Linked DNA regions of Xenopus tropicalis. The protein of the gene in region 3 purifies or fractionates together with the protein of the main gene of each other region. This does not show direct contact. Links are inferred from orthologs where the notes say so. Each region holds a gene or a part of one and is shown on either strand. Other genes may lie near its edges. The genes, in order: lin52, e2f4, lin37, mybl2, lin54, rbl1 and rbl2.

What was found.
Region 1: the proteins of lin37 (region 3) and lin52 purify together in Homo sapiens (affinity purification with mass spectrometry; 6 studies listed by BioGRID and IntAct, counting the BioPlex papers as one, with this or other methods). This does not show direct contact. The link is inferred for Xenopus tropicalis from reciprocal best matches to the Homo sapiens genes LIN37 and LIN52.
Region 2: the proteins of lin37 (region 3) and e2f4 purify together in Homo sapiens (co-immunoprecipitation; 4 studies listed by BioGRID and IntAct, with this or other methods). This does not show direct contact. The link is inferred for Xenopus tropicalis from reciprocal best matches to the Homo sapiens genes LIN37 and E2F4.
Region 4: the proteins of lin37 (region 3) and mybl2 purify together in Homo sapiens (affinity purification with mass spectrometry; 6 studies listed by BioGRID and IntAct, counting the BioPlex papers as one, with this or other methods). This does not show direct contact. The link is inferred for Xenopus tropicalis from reciprocal best matches to the Homo sapiens genes LIN37 and MYBL2.
Region 5: the proteins of lin37 (region 3) and lin54 purify together in Homo sapiens (affinity purification with mass spectrometry; 4 studies listed by BioGRID and IntAct, counting the BioPlex papers as one, with this or other methods). This does not show direct contact. The link is inferred for Xenopus tropicalis from reciprocal best matches to the Homo sapiens genes LIN37 and LIN54.
Region 6: the proteins of lin37 (region 3) and rbl1 purify together in Homo sapiens (affinity purification with mass spectrometry; 3 studies listed by BioGRID and IntAct, with this or other methods). This does not show direct contact. The link is inferred for Xenopus tropicalis from reciprocal best matches to the Homo sapiens genes LIN37 and RBL1.
Region 7: the proteins of lin37 (region 3) and rbl2 purify together in Homo sapiens (affinity purification with western blotting; 5 studies listed by BioGRID and IntAct, with this or other methods). This does not show direct contact. The link is inferred for Xenopus tropicalis from reciprocal best matches to the Homo sapiens genes LIN37 and RBL2.

Annotation. Positions count from the first base shown.
Region 1 is NC_030684.2:81,969,152-81,973,402, reverse strand, and holds the start of lin52 (protein lin-52 homolog), read right to left. Parts: upstream 2,801-4,251; 5' UTR 2,786-2,800; coding exon 2,767-2,785; intron 1-2,766. Other genes in the region: aldh6a1 (methylmalonate-semialdehyde dehydrogenase [acylating], mitochondrial), read left to right, coding at 3,279-3,305.
Region 2 is NC_030680.2:76,512,126-76,514,963, forward strand, and holds the end of e2f4 (transcription factor E2F4), read right to left. Parts: intron 1,275-2,838; coding exon 1,162-1,274; 3' UTR 501-1,161; downstream 1-500. UniProt on the Homo sapiens protein: Transcription activator that binds DNA cooperatively with DP proteins through the E2 recognition site, 5'-TTTC[CG]CGC-3' found in the promoter region of a number of genes whose products are involved in cell cycle regulation or in DNA replication.
Region 3 is NC_030683.2:128,883,153-128,887,344, reverse strand, and holds the start of lin37 (protein lin-37 homolog), read right to left. Parts: upstream 2,801-4,192; 5' UTR 2,695-2,800; intron 1-2,694.
Region 4 is NC_030686.2:39,928,692-39,932,191, forward strand, and holds part of mybl2 (myb-related protein B), read left to right. Parts: intron 1-598; coding exon 599-691; intron 692-848; coding exon 849-1,069; intron 1,070-3,500. UniProt on the Homo sapiens protein: Transcription factor involved in the regulation of cell survival, proliferation, and differentiation. Transactivates the expression of the CLU gene.
Region 5 is NC_030677.2:85,272,412-85,275,911, reverse strand, and holds part of lin54 (protein lin-54 homolog), read right to left. Parts: intron 2,568-3,500; coding exon of another isoform or gene 2,544-2,567; coding exon 1,854-2,543; intron 1-1,853. UniProt on the Homo sapiens protein: Component of the DREAM complex, a multiprotein complex that can both act as a transcription activator or repressor depending on the context. In G0 phase, the complex binds to more than 800 promoters and is required for repression of E2F target genes.
Region 6 is NC_030686.2:42,369,892-42,373,391, forward strand, and holds part of rbl1 (retinoblastoma-like protein 1), read left to right. Parts: intron 1-21; coding exon 22-183; intron 184-655; coding exon 656-788; intron 789-1,194; coding exon 1,195-1,410; intron 1,411-2,586; coding exon 2,587-2,792; intron 2,793-3,078; coding exon 3,079-3,255; intron 3,256-3,500. UniProt on the Homo sapiens protein: Key regulator of entry into cell division. Directly involved in heterochromatin formation by maintaining overall chromatin structure and, in particular, that of constitutive heterochromatin by stabilizing histone methylation.
Region 7 is NC_030680.2:49,460,512-49,464,475, forward strand, and holds the start of rbl2 (retinoblastoma-like protein 2), read right to left. Parts: upstream 2,801-3,964; 5' UTR 2,576-2,800; coding exon 2,417-2,575; intron 1-2,416. UniProt on the Homo sapiens protein: Key regulator of entry into cell division. Directly involved in heterochromatin formation by maintaining overall chromatin structure and, in particular, that of constitutive heterochromatin by stabilizing histone methylation.

The DNA.
Region 1 (4,251 bases), on a different chromosome or scaffold from region 3:
ACCAGTGCAGGGCCACAGTATGTTATATTTCAATTACTTTAAAACACTTTCATTTTTTGGTGTTACTGTTCCTTTAAATGCCAAAACTATTTTTGAATAGTCAACTAAGTGAAATCTTGTGACTTTGTGACCTTAGCTACTTACTTCCCACTGGTTTTAAAGGGGCAGTGTCACCTCTAGCTCAAAATCAGATCAATAAATAGTATGGTGTTTGTTTATACAAAGCTTATTGGCCCTATTTAAACTCAGTTGATAGCGGTTAAAATAGGTAGATAAAGTAAAAACTAAATAATAATACATAAGTATACTATATTATACATACATTCTATTTATCTTGCTTGTGTTGAAAAAAGTGTAAAGTTCATTTTTTTGTTTTAATCATTGTATTAGTATTCAAGAAAACATACAGGTGAACGTGGAATCTCATTCAAAATAGAGAGATCATAAAAGGTAAGCATTGAAAAGTAAACAATTACAATCTTACATAAAACTAATTGTAATAATATTTAATATATTAAAGTTACTAGAGTTCAAGAAAAAATTTGTGCCAAGTATTATTTTCATGGCTAGGATTACGTATAGTAGGAATCCATTTTAATGATAAAGGATGTCATGTATCTTATCTCTTTCCTTATTTTCCAAGCTTTGCAAATATTTTCCATTTTGATGTAAATTTTAAATGGTGTTTTCAAGCTATCGAATCTGAAATGAATAGTTTCATTTTTACAAAGATTTAGTTCTGCTTAAATGTCAGTGAATGAGGGAGGGGAGGACTCAATCCACTATTTAAATATAACTCTTTTAGCTGCAACCAAAGTCAATTTGATGTAATTCAGAATGTGGAGAATTCCAGTCTTTAGACTTGCCTGTGATTAAGTGCATCTTTAAACAGAGCTCTTTTCCATTTAAAAGTTGGATCTAGGCTACAAACCATCCAGTGTGATATGTAAAAGCATGTACTAACAGCTAAGTAAATAAAGTGTTTGGGTCATATGAACAAATCCATTAGTACAAATGAAAATCTCTATGAATTTCACTCATTAAAGGATGATAAAAGCTAAAATCATTGGCAGGCTCCAATTTGTTAGTCATCCCCCCATGATTATATTTACAGAGCAGAGACCCAAAGCTTGCATTTTTTCTGCAGAGTGTGCCATAACCATTTTTCCCTGCTCTTTCCAAAGCTCCTCTATTGCCCTGGGTAAGCAGAGTCCAGTAATTGTTCAGTGAGTTTTGTACTGTGCACAATGTGAACAACTTCTCTTGTTGATGATTACAATCATGGGGGGTGGCTGACAACTTGGCAACCCCAGTGAATTTTGCTAGCATTGTGTTTTAAGAAGGTATCATGCTTGCAAACCATGCTTACTACTTGCAGAGTATAATTTGAGAAAAAAAATACGTAAAAGCCACACAACAGGTTAAAACTGGTATAATTCCCCTTGTAAACTATAGCTGTGAATGCGTTCAAAGGGAAAAAAACAAGTTAAATTGAGCGTTATCCATTAACTATTGCAAGTAAACTCTCACTCATACCCCACAAAGATCTCAGCACATAGATTTGAGGTAACAAAAACAGTATAGACCTTTGCTCAAACGAAGTAAAATAAAGAGGACATATACTCTTGCTATTCTTTTAAAAGATAAAAAAAATCTTATTTTGGTAGGGTTCTGTTATAAAGTACCTCACTCTTCCTAAACCTGTATGCAGGAGAGTTTATTTCTGCAAGGTTTTACTTCTTCTGCTCTTACTGTATCTTTTTTTCTGTTACCATTTTCAAGTCACTCCCACCTGTAGGTATAGACTGGCTATCTGTGGATCCAGGGGAATGCCAGATGGGCTGCTGTTAGATGCCAGACATTTATTAGCCAGGTGGGGGCTGTTTGGGCATTACACCAAAAGGACATTACACCAAAAGGATCTAGGCTATTCATACAAAACAAGCTAGATTTTAACTTTTCTTGTTGGCAAGGTGTATTCACAAGAATACATTTTCACACACTAGAGTAACCAAGTAGCATTGTGGTAAAGTGGTCGGAATTCTTGCCCTTCTGTGTTAGGGTTCTGGGTTCAACTCACAAAGCTTTTACACAAATTTTTTACATGTATGTTGATAGGAAGAGTTTGGGTTTACGTAGTATACTTTGGGTCATTAGGATTAGGCTAGACTGTATAATACTTTTTTCATGAGCGTGAATATCTCGTATATAATTTTGGGACATTAGGTTTGTGATTATGATAATGTTTAGCTAAAATAAAGCACTCTTTTCTTTAATTGCCTTTAGTAGCTTGATCACTGAGCTATATCCACACTAGGATCTAACAGCTTTACGCATGTGCACTATGCTACATTCGTCTATGAGTAGTAGTATTTAGGTTAATGTCTGTACATTGGCAACATCCCAAATTGTGCAAGTACACCTTCCTACAAACTAGACGAAGCCGAAGGCTTGTACACTTTCCACCTGATGTCAATAGGAAGCCTTATTACATGTGAAAAGTAAAAGAAGGATCAGTTCATTGTCTGCGGCTAATTATTGACATGGCTAGGGATCACCAGAGCAGCACAGAACATCGCAATGCATTCACTGTTATTTTCAAGGTTTAATGATAAACTCCCAGTACTTTCTCGACAGAGTAACCATGCGCAGCGGGAACACACATCGGCTTTACCCTGCTGCTAGAAGCAATTATCGGATACATATATGTAGAATACTTTCCTCTAAGCCCATTAGTGTACCTACAAATTAAAAACAACCGCTTACCATCCGTAACTGCCGCCATTTTCTCACTTGTCACGTGACAGAAATAGACTTAAACATTCCATCTTGGTACACCCAATTTGACGCTCTATACTTAAGCGCCATATTGCTGCACCCACCCATAGCTTACACAAACGTCTATTTTTTAAAGACTAAAGTTAACTTGTACAATAATGTTTTAACCATTAAGGCATGGTGCGATGCACTGCCTTTTTGCTACATCACTTTCCAGACACCAAGAAGGCGTCATGTTCCTACACATTTTGTCGATCGTAAAAATGGCAAATAGCGGTGAAGATCCAAGAGTCATCACGTGACAAATATGAGCCAATCAAGGCACACATAGTAGGGCACCAGTCGGTCAAACCTTGAGTTAGCGCACAATCGGTCACTATTTCTGGCAGGCCAATAGGAAACACTTTTTAAGGGGCCGTGGCATCATCAGCCAATGGCGGGGTAGAGGTGTGGCTTCTTGTCATTCAGTCTCTGAGAAGCTCAGGGATTCTGAAGGAAGCATGATGCGGATCAGAGGAATAGTGAGGGTGAGTGTGGGCTAGTACATTGACATGAGTGAGTGGGGGAGAGAATATCCCCAGGTACCCAAAATAAATGGGTGTTCCCAATAGACGAATGAAACTATATTATGAAGGTGCTATTTTACAAGCAGGGCTACGTTGATATGCGCGGATAAAGGAGGCTGGGATTAAGAGACTGATGGTCGGTAGTGACTCAGTGTTGGGGGTAGTAAATTGGGCCCCTGCATTAGAATTTTGCACCGGAGAGGATGGGTCACTGCCCTTTCTCTAGAGGCCTTCATAGTTCGTGTATTGGTATGCCCAGCCCAGGCCTTGCCAAAAGTCTTGGAAGGAAACTAAGATTCAAGTAGTGAACCAAATAGTGTGAGGATTGATCTGGTATTCCTATTGATTAATATTAATCTGATATACTCCTTTGTTAAGTTTTGGATAATTTACTTTGCAAAATTTGGTGCTTTGTTGGGCTGCATATCATTGCACATGAACACTCCCATGTATATAAGGCGATATATCAGATATTCCCAGTGGGTGCTTAATAATGTTCAGTGCTATGCAGCTTATGCTGAGATCCTAATAAGAAGGTATACTTCAGAAAAATACCTATATGGACTTGCACACTGATTGCCAGCAGTAGGTTATGTGGGCATTGTTGGCAGCTAATGCCTGCTTTGTGCTATATATTAGCATAGGAATGGATAAACTGTTGATTATCTAGGGCATGTGTGAAACACAAGGCCCGCGGGCCGAATCCAGCCCGCCTGGCTGTTTTATGTGGCCGATGGTGACTGTGTCTGAACATGCAGCACCTATCACCTGACATCACTGCTCCAGTCCCAGTGGTGCTGCACGGTCAGGCATGGTTGACCCTCAACTTGGCCTGTGTTTTAGATTTCGGCCCCTTATGTGATTGAGTTTGACACCCATGATCTAGGGCTACCTTTATGGGTGATGA
Region 2 (2,838 bases), on a different chromosome or scaffold from region 3:
GCCAAGGAACTCCTTTTGCAGAAAGTATATTCCTTACCTTGATTACTGACACTGGAATTACATTATATATATTATATATTTGCAGTATATTAAATAAAATCAATTTAAATCAACATAGACTAAGTCCTAATATTCTACTTAAACGTTGGACTGAGATCCAGGTGGAGCAGCACTGGTATTAAAAACAAGGAGATCTCTGTCTGGGAGAAACAACATATCTCCATGGTACCATGTCACCTAACATATTACAAATATATGAAAGCTATGTGCAAAGGAAAATGCCAATCTTAACGTATATTCGGTCATAGAAGTGACTATAAATAGGTAACTCTTTACACTATAATATTCTTTCTAAAGCACAAGTTTATAATATAATTCAATTCCATACAACTCCAGTGCCAGCAATCATTGTGTATCATTTGGACTAAAATGGACTGCACAGCTTTTGTATTGAATCTCACCACTTTCACCCCAACAAAGTCACACAGCTGCTCTGGGTGTTTGTTTTTACATCCCTAAAGTGCTACTGGCAAATACGGGTTTATTTTGTAGAAAACAAAAATTACAAATAGTTCATGTGGCGCAGCAAATGTATGTAGAAAAATAATTTCATATCAACATCTTCTTTCATTTAGGTAAATTAGCTAGACAGTGACTGGCAGCGATTTGGCAGTGAGTGAGGTCAGAGCATAATAAAAGACAACCAAGCTTATTTTTTACGGTTACTGCATGGAAAACCATTTGTTTATGGAGGATGGTACTGCACACCTACTATATTATTGGACAGACTTAAGAACTTCTAAGCCCAAATACTGAGGCACACTCAGCCAAAAATCCAAATATTATGTACTTCAGCAAAAATGTTAAGTGCTTGAAATTTGTGAAAAGCTTCTGTCAGATGTAGTAATGGACTTAATAAAGCTGGATCAATACAGACAACCTCTATGAAGGGTTTGCCAAGCAGTCCTCTCATCACAGGGATGGAAAAGTTATGAGCGGATTCTCACAGTGAGAGGAGTTAAGTGTCTTTTTGCACTGCAATGTCTCTGGTATGGTTTCCGTAACAACTCACGCGGATATCCAAAAATAGAAACATTTCTTCATAAAAGACAACAAAAAAGTTCTTATTCACAAATAAGGCCCAAAGCCGAGTTCAAAATATCAGAGGTTGATGGGTACATCAAAGAGGTCACAAACTCCTTCACTTTCATCTAAATTATAGACATAGTCGTGATCACCAGGAGGAGGAGAAAGTCTGAGCAGAGGAGCAAAAACTGAAAAAAAAAAAAAAATCATGAGTATTTTCAAGCATAAGCAGGTGCCCACATACAGGGCCAGCAGTGGTATCAGTCATAAGTGCTTCTGATATGATTTATATAGAGAGACTGTATCTTAATACAAATCTATACCTATACAACCAACATCATTCTACATACCAACACTAAGGGGCACATTAACAAAGGCATGAACGCTCAGAGCGTTTTTTCGCTGAATTTTTTGGGCGTCCGCACGATTTTGTCGTACGCCGCACGACTTTTCCCCATACGCTTGCACGAAAAAACTGGAAAGGTTTTACCGCTGTTTAAAATTGTACGGTACGCACATTTTGTGACCAATACGAAATTATCGTGACTAATACAATTTTTTCGTAAGCATTTTCGTGATATTTGCGATCTTCAGAAATTTTCGTTTCCAATCCGAATTTTTCCCATTTGGGATTCGAACTCGTGATTTGATAAATCTGCCCCTAAGGGGCAAGTTTATCAAAATGTGAGTTTACCACAGAAAAAACTCATTCACTTTCTATTCATTCACTGATAAACACACTTTTAAAAATCACAGTAATTTTTTCAGTGGTAAACTTTAATCTCACATTTTGATAAACCTGCCCCTAAGTGCCATGGCAGACAGGGAGATTAGTCGCCCGCGGCGTCACGTATGCCATCCCACTGGTGATTTACATTCAAGTCAGTGGAGATGGCATATCTGGGAGATTAGTTGCCCGCGACTAATCTCCCCATCTGCCACGGCTCTTAGAATATGCAATTTAAAGAGCCAATTACACCAAAAACGTTAATTATTTGACTAGAAGAACTGCTTATTTATATAATATGTATAATAAATCTTTACTTTAAGCAAAAGTTCAAGTTTTATTGCAGCATGTTTGCTATCAGCTCTGCAGTGGTCATCCATTATTTAGCTGTCCGGCCTGCATTTACAGCCTCTTGGCTCCAATCTGCTCTATAGTGTGTTTGCAGCTGCAGACAATACTTTTGGCCTGGGTGCAAACACAAGAAGCTGATTAGGCAGTAAATGCATAGTGATGCGTTTCTGCACTAAAATACGCTGGGGGTCATTTCACCACTGGGCAAATTTGCTTGTGGGCAGTAACCTATGGCAACCAATCAAACTGCTGCATTCATTGTTCTACCTGCAGCTGGCTAAAAAAAAGCCAATAACTGACTGCTATAGGTTTCAGTGCCCAGAGTTGATAAACAAACTGCAGTGTGTCTGCAGAGAGCGGAGGGACTGTTTCTGTGCCTGTGCTTATATGCATGCTGAGAAACTGCTGTATATGGCAGTAGCCTTAGCACCACAGAGCACAGATACTTGAGAGTAAGGGCACACCATAGCAGACATTAGATCCTTACATTATTCTGTGAAAATGTACTTACTGCAAGCTAATACTTATATGGACACATACAAACGGCACACTGGTTTATGCTTAAAAGCCATGCCTTTAGATAAATCATGGCACAATGCTTTTTTTTTTTTTGCTTCTTTTAATGGGATTTTAACAAAAAAATCTTTTAGGAAAACATAAAAGAAACTATGCCT
Region 3 (4,192 bases):
CTCACTGGGGCAGGGGCTGATGGGAATGGGATAGGGACCTTAGATTGTAAGCTCACTGGGGCAGGGGCTGATGGGAATGGGATAGGGACCTTAGATTGTAAGCTCACTGGGGCAGGGACTGATGGGAATGTGATAGGGACCTTAGATTGTAAGCTCACTGGGGCAGGGGCTGATGGGAATGTGATAGGGACCTTAGATTGTAAGCTCACTGGGGCAGGGACTGATGGGAATGGGATAGGGACCTTAGAGTGTAAGCTCACTGGGGCAGGGACTGATGGGAATGGGATAGGGACCTTAGAGTGTAAGCTCACTGGGGCAGGGGCTGATGGGAATGGGATAGGGACCTTAGATTGTAAGCTCACTGGGGCAGGGACTGATGGGAATGGGATAGGGACCTTAGAGTGTAAGCTCCACTGGGGAAGGGGCTGATGGGAATGGGATAGGGACCTTAGATTGTAAGCTTACTGGGGCAGGGACTGATGGGAATGGGATAGGGACCTTAGATTGTAAGCTCACAGGGGCAGGGGCTGATGGGAATGTGATAGGGACCTTAGATTGTAAGCTCACAGGGGCAGGGGCTGATGGGAATGTGATAGGGACCTTAGATTGTAAGCTCACTGGGGAAGGGGCTGATGGGAATGGGATAGGGACCTTAGAGTGTAAGCTCACTGGGGCAGGGACTGATGGGAATGGGATAGGGACCTTAGATTGTAAGCTCACTGGGGCAGGGACTGATGGGAATGGGATAGGGACCTTAGAGTGTAAGCTCCACTGGGGAAGGGGCTGATGGGAATGGGATAGGGACCTTAGATTGTAAGCTTACTGGGGCAGGGACTGATGGGAATGGGATAGGGGCCTTAGATTGTAAGCTCACAGGGGCAGGGGCTGATGGGAATGTGATAGGGACCTTAGATTGTAAGCTCACTGGGGCAGGGACTGATGGGAATGGGATAGGGACCTTAGATTGTAAGCTCACTGGGGCAGGGACTGATGGGAATGTGATAGGGACCTTAGATTGTAAGCTCACTGGGGCAGGGGCTGATGGGAATGGGATAGGGACCTTAGATTGTAAGCTCACTGGGGCAGGGACTGATGGGAATGGGATAGGGACCTTAGATTGTAAGCTCACTGGGGCAGGGACTGATGGGAATGGGATAGGGACCTTAGATTGTAAGCTCACTGGGGCAGGGACTGATGGGAATGGGATAGGGACCTTAGATTGTAAGCTCACTGGGGCAGGGACTGATGGGAATGGGATAGGGACCTTAGATTGTAAGCTCACTGGGGCAGGGACTGATGGGAATGGGATAGGGACCTTAGATTGTAAGCTCACTGGGGCAGGGGCTGATGGGGGCCTGGTTGGGGCACTACAGTTGGGGGGCAGGGGCTGATGGGGGCCTGGTTGGGGCACTACAGTTGGGGGGCAGGGGCTGATGGGGGCCTGGTTGGGGCACTACAGTTGGGGGGGCAGAGGCTGATGGGGGCCTGGTTGGGGCACTACAGTTGGGGGGGCAGGGGCTGATGGGGCCTGGTTGGGGCACTACAGTTGGGGGGCAGGGGCTGATGGGGGCCTGGTTGGGCACTCCAGTTGGGGGGCAGGGGCTGATGGGGGCCTGGTTGGGGCACTACAGTTGGGGGGCAGGGGCTGATGGGGGCCTGGTTGGGGCACTACAGTTGGGGGGCAGGGGCTGATGGGGGCCTGGTTGGGGCACTACAGTTGGGGGGGCAGAGGCTGATGGGGGCCTGGTTGGGGCACTACAGTTGGGGGGCAGGGGCTGATGGGGCCCTGGTTGGGGCACTACAGTTGGGGGGCAGAGGCTGATGGGGGCCTGGTTGGGGCACTCCAGTTGGGGGGCAGGGGCTGATGGGGGCCTGGTTGGGGCACTCCAGTTGGGGGGCAGGGGCTGATGGGGGCCTGGTTGGGGCACTCCAGTTGGGGGGCAGGGGCTGATGGGGGCCTGGTTGGGGCACTCCAGTTGGGGGCAGGGGCTGATGGGGGCCTGGTTGGGGCACTACAGTTGGGGGGCAGGGGCTGATGGGGGCCTGGTTGGGGCACTCCAGTTGGGGGGGCAGGGGCTGATGGGGGCCTGGTTGGGGCACTCCAGTTGGGGGGCAGGGGCTGATGGGGGCCTGGTTGGGGCACTCCAGTTGGGGGGCAGGGGCTGATGGGGGCCTGGTTGGGGCACTACAGTTGGGGGGCAGGGGCTGATGGGGGCCTGGTTGGGGCACTCCAGTTGGGGGGCAGGGGCTGATGGGGGCCTGGTTGGGGCACTCCAGTTGGGGGGCAGGGGCTGATGGGGGCCTGGTTGGGGCACTCCAGTTGGGGGTCAGTCTCACACACACTGGGATCCCCTCAGGAAGCAGATTTATGAAAGGACAAATTCTTGACAGATAAATAAAGTTGCCCCCAAATGTTGCAGAAGCCTCTGGGGGATTCTGGGAGTTGTAGTTCATGATCTCCCCAACTAGAGCCATTTAGGAAAGGCTGTTCTCCCTGCTATTGCCATTAAAAAGGCGAAGGCCCTTTAGGGGACGCTGGGAGTTGTAGTTAATCTTTATAGTTATTTTCACGAAGGGAATACCGGGAAACAGATACTCAATATTGCAGCTGCTCCATGTACCCTACACGGTCCCGCTAAACAAGCCTCCGAACCATAAACCCAACCCGCCGCCATTGGTACTGACAGAACTTACCGACTCCGAACCGTCCGCGCTGCGCTTAAATCTCCGCCCCCTCCCTTTGTCATTGGGCGAACGCTTTCTTGGTTTAGCCAATGCGCTTCTCTTGCGAGCTGCTCGTCATTCAGTACTAACCAATCACAGAAGAGCATCCCGCTACGCCCCGCCCATTGCCGTGCTGCCTTGTTTCCCATCCGCTCAGCTGATGCGCTTGATTGGCAGGCAGCCGCAGAGCATGACGGGAATCGGGAGGGCCGGAAGCGGTTGGGTAGTTGTTCTCCCGTCGTGCTTTGCGTCTTGACAGTTGCTAGGAGACAGGCGGCAGGAAGCGCGGTAGATTTGACTCTCGGGAAGGGGCGGAAGTATCAGGAGTGACAGGATATCATGGCCCTGTTCTAATGTGGGGAATATAGGGAATTGGGCGCTGCTGGTACTGGTGTCCGTATGTAGGCGGGGAACTACAACTCCCGGCAGTACAGAGGTGTGAGAGAATATCCAGGTACGTTCCCATTGCGCCTTACTGGGAGTTATTAGCGCTATGGCTTCCCCAGTACGCCTCAGCTACCAACCATACAGCATCGCCCTGTGGATTTCTCCTTATTCCATTGTGCTCATTGCGCCCAGAGGTGTTAATCTGCGGTCCTACAGTGGAGCCCAATGAGTTGCGCCTGCTATGTGGTGTTAGCTGGGCTACAGGGGCCCTTGGCAGGCAGACTTAGGGGGGGCCCTTGGCATGCAGACTTAGGGGGGGCCCTTGGCAGGCAGACTTAGGGGGGGCCCTTGGCATGCAGACTTAGGGGGGGCCCTTGGCATGCAGACTTAGGGGGGGCCCTTGGCATGCAGACTTAGGGGGGGCCCTTGGCATGCAGACTTATGGGGGGGCCCTTGGCAGGCAGACTTAGGGGGGGCCCTTGGCAGGCAGACTTAGGGTGGGGCCCTTGGCAGGCAGTCTTGAGGGGGGCTGGCCTTGGCAGGCAGTCTTGAGGGGGGCGGGCCTTGGCAGGCAGTCTTGAGGGGGGCGGGCCTTGGCAGGCAGTCTTGAGGGGGGCGGGCCTTGGCAGGCAGTCTTGAGGGGGGCGGGCCTTGGCAGGCAGTCTTGAGGGGGGCGGGCCTTGGCAGGCAGTCTTGAGGGGGGCGGGCCTTGGCAGGCAGTCTTGAGGGGGCGGGCCTTGGCAGGCAGTCTTGAGGGGGGCGGGCCTTGGCAGGCAGTCTTGAGGGGGGCGGGCCTTGGCAGGCAGTCTTGAGGGGGGCGGGCCTTGGCAGGCAGTCTTGAGGGGGGCGGGCCTTGGCATGCAGTCTTGAGGGGGGCGGGCCTTGGCATGCAGTCTTGAGGGGGGCGGGCCTTGGCATGCAGTCTTGAGGGGGGCGGGCCTTGGCATGCAGTCTTGAGGGGGGCGGGCATTGGCATGCAGTCTTGAGGGGGGCGGGCCTTGGCATGCAGTCTTGAGGGGGGGGGGGCCCTTGGCATGCAGTCTTGAGGGGGGGGGGGCCCTTGGCATGCAGTCTTGAGGGG
Region 4 (3,500 bases), on a different chromosome or scaffold from region 3:
GCATATAAAAATCAAGTGCAAGTCATGGGAACTGCATCGGTTCTGGCACTGGGCATTAAAGCAGCATCAGCTTGTGATTCTTTTGGTGCACGACTGCATTAGGGCTGACATCTAGGCAAAAATGTGTGAAATGTCAGTTGGTGTCTTCAACATACACCAATAGGATAAAAACCTCATATAAAGTAGGTCTTCTGCTGTTAAAGTATATCTGATTTGCTGGCCCTGGGCAGATGTTACCTTTGGCCTACAATGGTTTTATGGCTGTTTTGATCAGGGGACACTTTCTGAACTGATGACGAGCTAGTCTATGTACACTTAAAACTCCCTATTTCTTGTTAACATTTATTTCCATTACTACCCCCTTTTATACATCTTAATTCCATATTAGGGTATATGCTGGTTATGCCTTTCCCCATAAGGGAAAATAGAACCCAGAAATCTTATGGCTTAATGGAGAGGTGTTTATGCCCTTTCAGCGCTGTTAGACATCGGATGGCACTACTTGGTGTGAGCAAAGGTTTAGTACAATAAGCACTGTCTTTTTGTTCCTTAGTCTTAATGTTTTAGTAAGGTGTTTACATTTTTGTTTTTCCTCCAGAATCGTACTGAACAACAATGTCAGCACCGCTGGCTTCGTGTTCTTCATCCTGACTTGGTTAAGGGTCCATGGACAAAAGAGGAAGATGAGAAGGTATGAAGTGAGGTATCTGAATAGGGGAATACATATTATTATTGGTGTGGCAGCCCTGATAAACTACAATTCTTTTGTAGTCTTTGGAGGGATGCTGTGAGCTCAACATCCTTGTGGCTTACGTTGAACTTTGTCTACCTCTGATAATTCTTTCTAGGTGATAGAATTAGTGAAGAAGTATGGCACCAAACACTGGACCCTGATTGCTAAGCAGCTCAAAGGCCGCATGGGCAAACAGTGCCGCGAACGATGGCACAATCACCTCAATCCAGAAGTGAAAAAGTCCTCATGGACAGAGGAAGAGGACAGAATTATATGCCAAGCCCATAAAGTATTGGGAAATCGCTGGGCTGAAATAGCAAAGCTGCTTCCTGGGAGGTAAGAGAAACCCACCTTTGCCTGTTAAACTCCTCTTTACTTCAACTGTTCAGGCTGTCTAAACAGTGCAAACGTGGCCATACTATGCATAGCATCTTATACAGCAGGGATCCCCAACCTTTCTTACTCGTGAGCCAAGTCAAATGTAAAAAGACTTGGGAAGCAACACAAGCATCAAAAGTTCATGGAGGTGCAAAATAAGGGCTGTGATTGGCTATTAGGCAGCCTTTATGCACACATCAGCTTACAGGGGGCTTTATTTGGTAGTAAACCTTGTTTTTATTCAATCAAAACTTGCCCCCAAGTCAGGAATTCAAAAATAACTACCTGGTTTGGGGGCACTGAGAGCAACATCCAAGGGGTTTGGGGAGCAACATGTTGATCATGAGCCACTGGTTGGAGATCACTGTTATACAGTATCTATCTAACCCAAAGGCCAATCAGACACTGTACAAAGCTGAAATGTGTACAGCAGCCTTAAGCCTTCAATATACTGTCCTGGGGGAAGAATAAACTGAAACATTACCTGTTTAAGGAAATAATTGGCTTTCCTAAAACATTTTACCTTCTTTCAAAACAGTTTTCTCACTCCCACCCTGACCAACTTAAGTTAAACTAAGCTGTTGATAATTTGTAAACAGGCACTCTGTTTCCTTTTGACTTGTATATCAGGATATTTTGAAACCCATTGTTTAGGTTTAAATAACAGTATTGTTTACACTTGCCTGTACAGCTGATTGCTCATGTAGCCATAAGAAAACTTGGCAAATTGTCTAATGGTGACCATTGGCTAATCAGACTACCTACAAGTAAAGGTCCTTGTCTAATGGGCCTCTGTGGGCCCCAGAGTATGATTTGCTCATTGGCCACAGGGCCATAGCTTTTGCCACACTGGTCAGATTCTCAGGCTTAAATGCAAGCTGAGAATCCATCCCTGGACTTGGAAAATCTGCTAGGTGTCTGCTCGGTTGCAGCCCCACTAAGCAAAATTCGGCAAAATATTGCTCTGTGGCTCCTGGTGCTGCCACAACTATCAGATTTTTTTTAAGCGTAGTGGTGGATTCTGGGGCTGCCTTTACCCACAGGCTGAGAATCTGCACAGTGTTACACTTGCCTAAGGGTTGGAACAGCCCATTTAGTCCCTGCATGGGGCTGGCACAAGAACATGCTAAGTTATCATCACTTAGAAGTCTTTCTAGGTCTGTCATTTGAAATCTAAAGCCAGCCCGCCTCCTGCTGAAAGGCTGAATAGCAGTTTATTTGCATGCCTACTGCAGACAAGACTGGATGCTATAAAGCAATGAAAAATGCATCTTCAGTTGCTAATTAGCTACTCCACATCTGGAGTGTGTGCCTGTTTGATACTGATAACCTTAGCAGTGCTTCTAAGGCTGAAAAGACATGTACTATAGCATTGTACTTTGTGAATAAGAGGGGGCAGCGACTGATCTGGGTGCTCCTTCACTGGATGCAGTATGCCCTGTGTTCCTTCATCTTAAGGGCAGTGGCACACTGTGGGGAAACATTTGCATCACTTCTGCTTTGCGAAGTAGCCAAAAGTTACCTCGTAAGGAGATTTTGGGGCTACTTGAAAAACTTGAAGCGGCATATATGTTTCCCGCAGTGGTGCTTTACGTTGCTGGTGGGAAAGCATTTTCAGGATATTCAAAGCCCGCAATAGTGCAGGTGAGGTAGAGGAGAACTATACCCCCTCTGCATTTTCAACTGTTTGGCCTCCCACAGGGGCCACCTTTCTCCCTCCTGATGACATCATTGCCTGCAGCTAAAAGTTCACTTGTCCCCATACCTTCTATGTAACTGCAGTGTGGTTGCAGTTGCTTCTAGGGATGCACCAAACCCACTTTTTTGGGTTCGGCCGAACCCACCCTGACTGATTCTGCCAAATTCTAATTAACATATGCTAATTAGGATCAGAAGGGGCTAAAAAATCTCCACCCCTGACCAGTTAACCCTTTCTGAATGCTAATTTAGCATATGCTAAATAGTATTCGGTTCAGCTGGTACCGTGGATTTGTCCGAAACCGAACCAAATCTGGGATTCGGTGCATCCCTAGTTGCTTCACATCCAGTTTGTGTCCCTGGCCCTGATTGTCTACAAGGAGCATATGTGGTGGAAACCAGGATTAGATCTGCTGCCGCTGTACATGCTTGTTCTTTGCAATGTCACAGATCCAGATGCAGCCAGGGATGATAGTCCCCAACACCAGTTCACTACTCTACAGTTACAAAGCTGGTACCAGGTAGCTAGGCTTTAGGCACCAATTTAGTCGTAGCACAGAAAGGGGTTTAGTTCTCCTTTAGGGAAATGTTTTTGAGTCAACAGGTTAAACCGTTTGCCCACAGAAGAGAGGTATCTGCATATACCTGTACACTGTTATGCATGTTTGTAAAGATGATTATTTAGAGATTA
Region 5 (3,500 bases), on a different chromosome or scaffold from region 3:
CCTCTTTAATCACTTTATTGATAAAGTCCCAAGTCATCGGTGCCCCTATAGCATGTCCAGAAGTACAGAGTTGCTTGACAGCATTGGCCACCACCTTTAGCTGTGCCAATTCTGTTCCCAGCAACCATCTCAGTGATCAACAAACGGCACATGCACACTGGCACTAGCGATGAGCGAATTCTTTCCCCAGACATGGATTCACAGCAGAATTCCTCATTTCGCTGTTAGTGAAAGGCGCGGTCACGTCAAAAAAAGGGCACAGTAGCGTAAAAAAAAGTTGATTTCTGTGGTGGTGCTTTGAAATTTTGGCACATTTGAGCTTTTGAAACATACAAGTCAGAAATCTCCATAAAACTATACATATTTGGTTTTGGCACATTTATGAAACATGCAGATTTCTAAATGTTCACATGTAAAGCAATATTTTTGTGATATATATCCCTATATTATGCAATTTTTTTTGGTATTAGACCCTTAAAGTGGAAATACACAAAAATTTAGAAAGCCCAGCTTGTAGATATGAGACTGGGTTTGATGGCACACTGACAAATTCATAAAACATGTTGTTAAAATGTAATCTAAAAGACAAAATCTGAAAACGTTCTGTTTAAAAGACAAAATTCACAAAAAGTGGAGACTTTAAAGTAGCACTTTAGAATATTAAAGGGGTTAAGTAAACCTTTGTTAAGTGTTACTCATAATACTCTAAATAATGTTCCCCTAAGCTTGCTAATGCAGCTTTCGCTTTCATTTTAGATCTAAGTAGCTGAAGGTGCCTGGTAAAACATACCTAATTTGAATTAGGAGGATCTTTCCCTAGGCAGTGCAGGGAGCATTGTTACATCACAACTTACATTGCCATTACGCTACGCTAATATGACATAAGCAGAAGCCTTCCTATTGGCTGTATGCATTCAGTTTATTTAGTTGCTTTAATACTAAAGCTGTGGGAATGTAAAAGTAATTTTTACCTTTCCTTCCCATTTAATTTTTGGTCCAAGTATCTGTTTTTTTTTCCATAAAATTGTATTTCCAGGATATTTATAATTTGCCTTAAAAAGTATTTGCCCAATGCTTTTAAATTACCTCTCTGATCTCCCATGTTCCTCTATGAGGGAGCTGCCAAATTTGTGCATCAGTAGTAGGTTAGCATTAGAAGCTATAAAATGACAGGCTGAGATAGGACAGTCAGGTTGGCTCCCGATGTTGATCCAGAGGAAGGCAAAAAAAAAAACCCAACTGAAGCCTCTCTCATTTGTCGCAGAGGGGAAAAAATTCCTTCCTGACTCCAAGATGGCAATTGGACCAGTCCCTGAATCAATCATGTTCACCATATGCTTTTTCCTGGCAGATATTTTTGCATCTTCTCCTGAATACTCTAACGATTTACTTGTCTTTTAGATACTAAATACTTGTGAGATACAGTGAAAGTGATACAGAACTTTTATTGGTAAATTACTAAAATTTCAGCTGTTGCTCTACCCTTTTTCAAGGTAAGAAAGGCTTGTAGCAACAGTTGAAATGTTAGACGCTTACCAATAATTATTCTATGTCATTTCATAAGCCCTGTGAGTTTGCATCTTTTCTCAAAACAGATACATTTGCAAGCTCATTAACTGATTATGCCCATTATGTACTTCCTTTTCTGAATAATAATAAAACCTATTGCATGATCTGCCAGGTATCAAACTGCCAGCGCCACAGATTTTACATTTCTGGAATCTTATTTGATCTATGCTACATAACATATTAGCTGGCAAGCTAATACCACAAATAGGGTGACAACTGTAAAACTTATGAATAAAAAGCACATATGATTCAGGACAGCATCACTTTCCTCAAATTAAATCTACCTGTAAAGTCTTGATCTGCTGGGTCTGTAACACTGGGGACTTGGTAGAGGGGCTGATGATTTGTGCAGATGTTAATGCAGACATTCCAAGGACAGGATTTCCATCAGATCTGTTTCCACCGATGGTTACAAGCTTAATCTGCTGTGGTGTCACTTTAGATTCTATACGTTGAACGTGAGTAACTGGTGTCTGTGCATTTCCAATGTGACTCTGTGGCAATGTCAGAACAATGGGGTGGCTTGATTTTCCCAGAGTTGTAACAATCAGTTTCTGCCCTTCCTGCTTCACAACATGACTTCCGGCTGTAAGATCAGAAGCCTGTGAAACCTTATTAAGTACCACCTGACCAGATATAGGAGTAGCCAGTTTGTGAAAGTGCGTCTGTAATACAGTTTTCATGGCTGCGGCTGAAGGTCCAGATTCTGGCTTTGAAGCAACACTAACCACTGCTAAGTGTCCAGCATTGTTGCTAGTTGATGCAACTGCTTCTTTCACTACTGCTGTAGAAACACATTCACCACTACTGCTCACTTCCACAATGCGCTCCAGTTCTGTTTCCATGGGGGCTTCATCCACCATAGGCGAGGATATTGTGATAGCTTCAATGCTGTCATCATCCACCAAGGAAATTCCTGTCTCCATAATCTCATCAGGGAGGACATTGTTAACATCAGTAGACACCACATCCATTCTAAACCTCTGAGAGCAGGTGATCTACAGTAAAAAAAAAAAACATTATTAATATTAAAGTAAGAAGTTGTTAAAGATGCATTATTTATTATGCAGTGGGGTTCTACTGGGATAAGTTCTCTTCTTCACCTCTTTCTGAAATGGTCATAACTATTGTTATAAAAAAACAAAACTCAACCTAAGAACAATACCAATGTTAACAAGAGAAAAATACCAAAATGTGATGCTGATGTTTATGATCAATAAAAGAAGTTAAAAAATAAGTAAACCTTTTTTTTTCTATTATTAAAATTACTCTAAACAGCTTCCCAGAATTGCCTACCTTTGTCCCTCTGTTCTTTCTGACCTGGTTCCTCAGTTACAAGCTGCTCGATTCCTCTCCTTCCTTGCTCAGTGTGAAGCTCCGCCCCCACTTCCTGTTCAGGGGTCTCATCAAGAAAAAAAAAACCTGCTAATGCACAGACTGGCTCCTGCTGCCTCCAGGCATGCGCAGAAGGCTCTCCACTTGGACTACAGGTAGTCTATGTAATGAGAGACTTGAACAGGAAGTGGGGGCGGAGCTTCACACTGAACAAGGAAGGAGAGGAATAGAGCAGCTTGTAACTGAGGAACCAGGTCAGAAAGAACAGAGGGACAAAGGTAGGCAATTCTGGGAAGCTGTTTAGAGTAATTTTATTAATAGAAAAAAAAAAAAAGTTGACTTATTCTTTAAAAAAAAAAAAAAAGATTATTTATATGTTCTGGAGGGAACAAGGCTGCAGTTTTTTTATTGTACAAGTTGGCGACTTATTGGGCTGTGTATGTAGGACAACAAATGGGGCTGAAGAGTATCTGGGTGAAAACAGTCAATCGGGCAGATTTGGAAAAAAACACTGGATGTAGCAACACATTGGATTACTGATGCAGTCCTCATCCGATGGATTTCCGTAGGCCCCACTGTAAAGTCTTAACCCTCTA
Region 6 (3,500 bases), on a different chromosome or scaffold from region 3:
TCCAACCTTAATCCCTTTTAGGTAATAGAAGTGTTTATTCGTTCCGAAGATGGGCTGTCACGGGATATGGTGAAACACCTCAATACCATTGAAGAACAGATTTTGGAGAGCCGTGCTTGGACCAGCGACTCGGTTCTCTGGGTGCATCTTGACGCTGTTGATAATGTGCCAACCTGTGAAGAAGTACGTTCAATATGGCCACACCTGTCCTTTCATTACTTCTTGCTCAATAAATACAGCACAATGATCGCAAAAAACTAAACTTGTGTTGGTTTCTTAACATAATTGAATAATTGTGACACAAGTTTAGTTTGGTACCTTTGTGTTACAGATCGCTAAATGCTATACGATATCAAATGACTGGATAGACACAGCACAGAATAGTCCCAATCTGTGTATTTTTATTTCTGGACAGCAGTGTTACTGTTCCCTTATACAGAACAGTACAGGCTTATAGCTTAGTGTTTGCACAAAACATACCTTCCTTGTATATTTGAATCATACGTATGGTTAATAAGCTGCCGTCTTTCCTGCCAGTGCTCAGGTCGGTCTTTTCCTTATTTGGTGTTGAAACAGCACCACTGATCATTTAGATCATTAGAACTGGTTTTTATTTTTTGATTTAAAACTGAAGAGGTTTTCTTTCATTTCATAGGTAATCATACCCAGCAACTTTGAAACTGGGAATGAGGCTGGGGTGGGCCACTTGCCCATGATGCCTGCATCTCCCATTGTTCATCCTCGGTTGAAAGAAGTTCGAACTGACCTAGGAGGATCGTTCAGGCGAGGTGAGAAACTGGGTCGGAGGGTTATCCACAAATTAAGAGACCATAAAATTATAATAAAACTGCACTTGGGAGCAAATGTTTAATGTTGTGGGGTTTTTTTCTGGGGAATAATTTGATATAATATCTTATAAGTTTATGTACTTTGTTGATGCCCACTATTTGACATTCTCAGTTTGATAATGATTTTTCACAAGATAATTTGGGGAAGGATGGGCTGAAGTTGCAACCCTGTACTATTTGCTGCTTCTACTTCACTCAACAGCAGAGAGTGAACAGAGAAGTAATTTTGCCATAAGAAATGGTTGTATGTGTTTTATTCAGCAGTGTGAATGGTTGTTTTCCAAGCTTTCCTTTGTAGCATGGATAGAGATGTATTTCAGTGTTTTTTGTTTTTTTTTTCTTTTAGACTGCCAGCCACTCTCTCCAATTTCTGTTCATGACCGCTACAGTTCACCAGCTGCTGGCAGTGCCAAGAGGAGGCTCTTTGGGGATGACTGCCCAAGGGAGCAAACTGTGGACAAAATAACCACACCTGATATCACCCGCATAAGGATTGCATTAAGCCCCTCTCCTGATAAAACTGCCCAGTCTATTGGGCAGACTATTGCTATACCTGTGCAAGGTAAATACTGGTGCTTAAAAGTGAAAGCTTTATTCTTAACCTTTCTAGGATTGGACACGTTAGTATGTCAGTGACCGTTTTGGCTTCTGTTTCTGATTAATTTTTCAAAGTATTTGTAAAAGGCCACTTGGTATAACATTTGGGCCAGTCTTATAACAGGGTTACAGATAGGAGCACCCTGCTATAGTTCCAGGGGTACCCAGGGCACAAATAAGCACTCACCCCAAATCCCCCCCTAACTGGCCTTCAGGCTGGGCCCCCTTAGCCCATAACAAGGTTACAGATATATAGAAACATTGGGGTAACAGTCACCCTGCTATAGTTCCAGGAGTACCCAGGGCACAAATAAGCACTCACCCCAAATCCCCCCCCTAACTGGCCTTCCGGCTGGGCCCCCTTAGCCCATAACAAGGTTACAGATATATAGAAACATTGGGGTAACAGTCACCCTGCTATAGTTCCAGGGGTACCCAGGGCACAAATAAGCACTCACCCCAAATCCCCCCTAACTGGCCTTCAGGCTGGGCCCCCTTAGCCCATAACAAGGTTACAGATATATAGAAACATTGGGGTAACAGTCACCCTGCTATAGTTCCAGGGGTACCCAGGGCACAAATAAGCACTCACCCCAAATCCCCCCCCTAACTGGCCTTCAGGCTGGGCCCCCTTAGCCCATAACAAGGTTACAGATATATAGAAACATTGGGGTAACAGTCACCCTGCTATAGTTCCAGGGGTACCCAGGGCACAAATAAGCACTCACCCCAAATCCCCCCCTAACTGGCCTTCAGGCTGGGCCCCCTTAGCCCATAACAAGGTTACAGATATATAGAAACATTGGGGGTAACAGTCACCCTGCTATAGTTCCAGGGGTACCCAGGGCACAAATAAGCACTCACCCCAAATCCCCCCCTAACTGGCCTTCAGGCTGGGCCCCCTTAGCCCATAACAAGGTTACAGATATAGAAACATTGGGGTAACAGTCACCCTGCTATAGTTCCAGGGGTACCCAGGGCACAAATAAGCACTCACCCCAAATCCCCCCCCTAACTGGCCTTCAGGCTGGGCCCCCTTAGCTCAACACATATGGGTGGGAGTATTGGCTTTTTATCTGCTGGGGGGAAAATGCCAAGTTTGATATTAGCCTTTTAATCCATTACTGCTACTACTTCTTAGGTTTAGCGAATGAAAGTGTCAAAAGCCTTTTTCTACCAATGAAAACGTCTCCTCCACAAAGTGAAAATTATGTTCCGGTCCCTTTGACTGCGCAAGCACTGATTAGCCCACTTACAAAGCGTCAGTTGGGCAGAATGCCGGAATCCTGCCCCACATCAGCGCGCAAGCCCAAGAAAACTGGCTCTCTGGCTTTGTTCTTTAGAAAGGTGAGCTCAAATATATTCAAAATTATTTGCTTGTGACTTCACGTGACCCTTTACCTGCCGGCGATGTAGGTTCTCTGTTTCTACCTTTAAACGACACTGTCCATCTAATAAAAAAAAAAATTAGAAACCTGTGAACTACAATTCCCAGAAATCCTAGTTTAGGCCGAGAGTTGAAGCTAAGCCAGTAAGATGGATGTTTACCCACTACTGTAATAATGCTTAGTGCTTAGTATCATGTTCTTTTGGGCAACTATGGAACTTTGCAGCCATGTACTTTGTACTGTAGGTCTATCACTTGGCGAGTGTCCGTCTCCGTGACTTGTGCCTGAAGCTGGATGTGTCCAATGATTTGCGCCGAAAGATCTGGACTCTGTTTGTGTACTCGCTGGTCCATTGCACTGACCTAATGAAAGACAGGCACCTGGATCAGCTGCTCCTCTGTGCTGTGTACATTATGGCCAAGGTACGTTTTATCTAAGCTTTAGTACTGCACGGAAGTGGATTATCTCTTGTGAAATGACATCATTCTGTTTACATTGTAAGGGGGGAAAAAGTTATTTTATTTATATTTAGTGCAGAATGTGCCATCAGGAATTGGCCAGCTAACTTAAATCCATACCTTTTAAATGAGAAAGAAAGGTATTTTGGCATTTTACTGCCAATAGATTAGTCATTAGTGCCACCTAGAAAGCTATATATTCTGCAGAA
Region 7 (3,964 bases), on a different chromosome or scaffold from region 3:
TTTAGTGAGGAGGGTCCTTTCAAACGATGAGGGTCCCTAGATTGCAGGGCGGACTCAGGGAGGTAGTAGGAAGAAGCTCTAACAGCAGACACGAGTGCGACCGTTTCTGGTGGTAGAAGTCGGGCCCTCCAACAATCGCGTCACAAGACTGACTTGGCTCGTTACCTAGAGGTTTGGGCCCTTGAACGTATGTGATATATGCTTGGCAGTCAAAGGCTTTTTCTGCAACATGTATCACATACATGCTTGGCAGGAAAAGCGTAAAACCTTACATATGTTTCTTGTAAATCCTTATTTCCAAGCAGTGCTGAGTCCCCTGGGCAACCTGGTTGGCTTGGCCCGCCTTATCCCCCACGTGGGCGCGCGTGCACACACAGGGTGGCGGGGTTGCCGGGGCCACTGGCGGGGGGGTACTACAGTAGGGGGGGGAAAGGGCCCGGAACTAGTGGTTGGTGAAAGAAATACCACCTGCCTGGCGCGGCCACACCGTTGCGCCATAGGCAGGTGCCTCTTCTGCCTACCCATGCTTCCAAGTACCTTCAGTTCCTGAAATCTCTCCATCCCCACCTTCCATTTGATTGATAGAGAGTGTACTGTCTGTAAAAAGAGCTGCCCTCTGATTGGAGAAGCTGCAAGCAAAAAAATCCAATCAGAGTGCAGCTGGTAACAATGGTATCGGACCTTGCAGGAATGCAAAGAGCTTTCCACTTTTTAATTTAGGTGCCAGACAGGTTTGGAAAGGGTTAGCCTTCCCTAGACTTAATGAAAATCTACCCATTGATTTATCTAGGGTTGAACTGGGCGGCCGGGGCACCAGGAACAAACCTGGTGAGCCCCTGCGGCCCCAACCCGATCCCCGCAGGGTGCGCCACAAATCCTCCGGTCTCCCTTCCCTGATGCGCTGCAGGTAAGTTTAATTTACAGTTACTTACTAGTGAAAAAGTATTCCATCCCACATTTGAATTTGTAGGTTTATTGGTGATGGCGCACAAAAGGAGGGATATGTACAAAACAAACTCATAAGAATTAAGAGGGAACTATAGATCTGCATAAAATAGTACTATACTATATCTGAACTATACCTAGTTCAGATTAACACAAAATATTTTCAAGGTATCATATTTCTTTTAAAAAAGGAAGAATATACAGCACTTCTCTGCTTTAGTTACTTGGATACAGTGTTAGAATATAAATAACACAGTCTGCAAGAGCCCTAGTAATTAAACAGCTGAATTGCTAAGGTCCACATATCTCCAAGGAGACTGCATTAAGCTGCTCCTCATCACAACCAAAACAAACAGCAGCCATCAAGTCAAAGCTGCTAATATACAGCATGTTAATATATATATATACAGGTAGCATAACTCCAAGTTTAAGTTAGCTGGTATAATGATCTGCACTACGCTCAGTTAGATGAGAATACAGTAAGTAAGCACTCCATATAGCTTGTCAAAAGGATGTGAAAATAACTAGGCAGATTTCTCAGCTTATAAAACACAGAAATTCAGAGTTGTGCAACTACTGTAAATACCGTGTTAATCATTTTTAATTATCTTCCACAAAAAAAAAAATCAGAAAGATGTTAATTATTGTACACATCCTCCAACAGCCTCATGTGTCAGTCCCTCCCTGAACCTTTAGATCTGTGATCCCCAACCAGTGGCTCGTGCGCAACATGTTGCTACCCAACCCCTTGAATGTTGCTCCCAGTGGCCTCAAAGCAGGTGCTCATTTTTGTATTTCTGGTTTGGAGGCAAGTTTTGGTTGCATAAAAACCCAGTATAATGCCAAACAGAGTCTCCTATAGGCTGCCAGTCCACAGAGGGGGCTATTAAGTAGCCAACCATAGCTCTTATTTGCACCCCCAGGAACCTTTCGTCATGCTTGTGTTGCTCCCCAACACTTTTTCCATTTGAATGTGGCACACAGGTAAAAAAGGTTGGGGATCCCTACTTTAGATTGTAAGCTCATGCAATCAGTTCCTTCTTGTCTCCTGCCCCGCAAGGCACTTTTTTGTTACCGTTTTGTACTTATTAGCGATCAGAATAAAGTCATAGCTATGACAGACTACTGCACTCCACGTCCATTTCATCCCTTCCCGTATCTGATAAGGAGCTGTAACACATGCAGCATAGGCATCCAGGTGAAATGCTAAATAATGTGAAATAAACTAAAAAAAAGCAATGAAAATATTTTCTGGGATGCAAAAACCTCCACAGCGCACTACTACAGTTATTTGCTAATAAGCCAAAGCTTGCAGCGACGCTGTTTGTTTTTTTTCCAGTCCAGTTGTTACTGTACTACCATACCCAGCATGCCCTGTAGCGGAGACTGGGAGAGCAGAGTAGCACCAACAGCAGTAGGAGGGCCGCAGGTCAGGCATTCATCAAGCCCATGAAAAAATAGAATTTCTCACCTCTAGAGTATAATTCTGGCTAATCCTACTGTAATACTCCCAGGCCTCCCCCCGGGCCCTCTCATCCATATTAAGGCTGCTGCAGAGTTCGTCATAGCGGCAGCGCAGCTGTTCTTCTGCCTGCTTGCCTTCCCCTTCTTCTTCTTCCTCCTTGATCATCCTCAGACCTTCCAGTTGCCCGGCTATGTCCCCTCCGCCACCCGAACGGTGCACTTCCACATCTCACACTGCGCAGCCATTTAAATGGCAATGACTGACAGCAACGCTTTGATATTCTCGTCACCAATTAGAAAGGCCTACTAGCGTAGGACACTGTTCTTCTAATATAGATGGGGAAAATGCGTAGCGTAGCCCCGCCCAAAACAACACAGAGGTCGGCCTTTTCCTTTCCTTATCGCTGCCGATTGAGATACTTGCTAGTTCCTGCTAGTCTCTTACTCTGTTCATAAACAACATAGCAGCATCCGCCGCCCTATTCTGTTAGTACGCGTGCGTTATGTTCCTTCCTGAAAAGAAAGTTTTAGTTCAACTAAGCCCCACTGTTCCTATATGTAAATACTTTCTTTGGAGGAGGAGGCCATCCTGCTTTTACGCTTTCTAAACTAACACTCACGTTTTCCTATATGGGCTGTGTCATCTTTACTTCACAGGGGGTCCAAAATGAGTGAACAAATCGACTTGAAGGAATGTCACAGTATCAATGGCAATTACGGGGGACCCAGCCCTTTATGAACATATCCAGTAATTTGTATGATTCATAAAAAAGAAAATAATTTAGAAATGCAATGCAATGTTTGCATTTAGGACATAACATGTTTTACCAACATTCACATCTTAAATGCTATGGGGATCATAATAAGTAAAAAAAATTACAGGAATTCATATATTCGTCTTTCTCTATTAATAACGTTGGCATCAAGCATAATTTATTACTGGGAAGGCGGGTAAAACACTGGACAGGTGGCAACCCTAGTCAACAGGCCCGGATTTACAAAGAGGGTGCACCCTAGACCCCCGTCTCTGCAGTCATGTGCATGCCCACTTCTATAGTCAGTGCGTGGGGCATTTCTCTAGTCCTTCAGTCCAAATTTAGAAGCAGCAGCTGGTCTGCATGTTGCCCTAGGCCCTGGCCTTTGTATAAATCCAGATCTGCTACTCAGTACTTTTCACTTATCTGAGGGGGGGGGAGCTGGAGGAAGTCGCTGCGGTGGGGGAAAGCTGAGGGGAGCCAGAGGAAGTTGCTGGGGGGGAGCTGGAGGAAGTCGCTGGGGGCGAGTTGGAGGAAGTTACTGGGGGTGGAGCAGAAGGACAATGGGGGTGAGCTGTGCACATGCAGCGGGGAGCCACAGGAAGTTGCTGGGGGGGAGCTGGAGGATTCTGATGGGAGCTGGGGGTAGCCGGAGGATGCTTGGGGGGGGAGCTGGAGGATGCTGGGAAGGACTCTGGGGGGGAGCTGGAGTATGATGTGGGGGTGAGCTGGAGGATGCAGGGGGGCCCTGGCTACCAATGTTTTAGGGGGGCCCTGGCTACCAATGTCTGTGTGTCCTT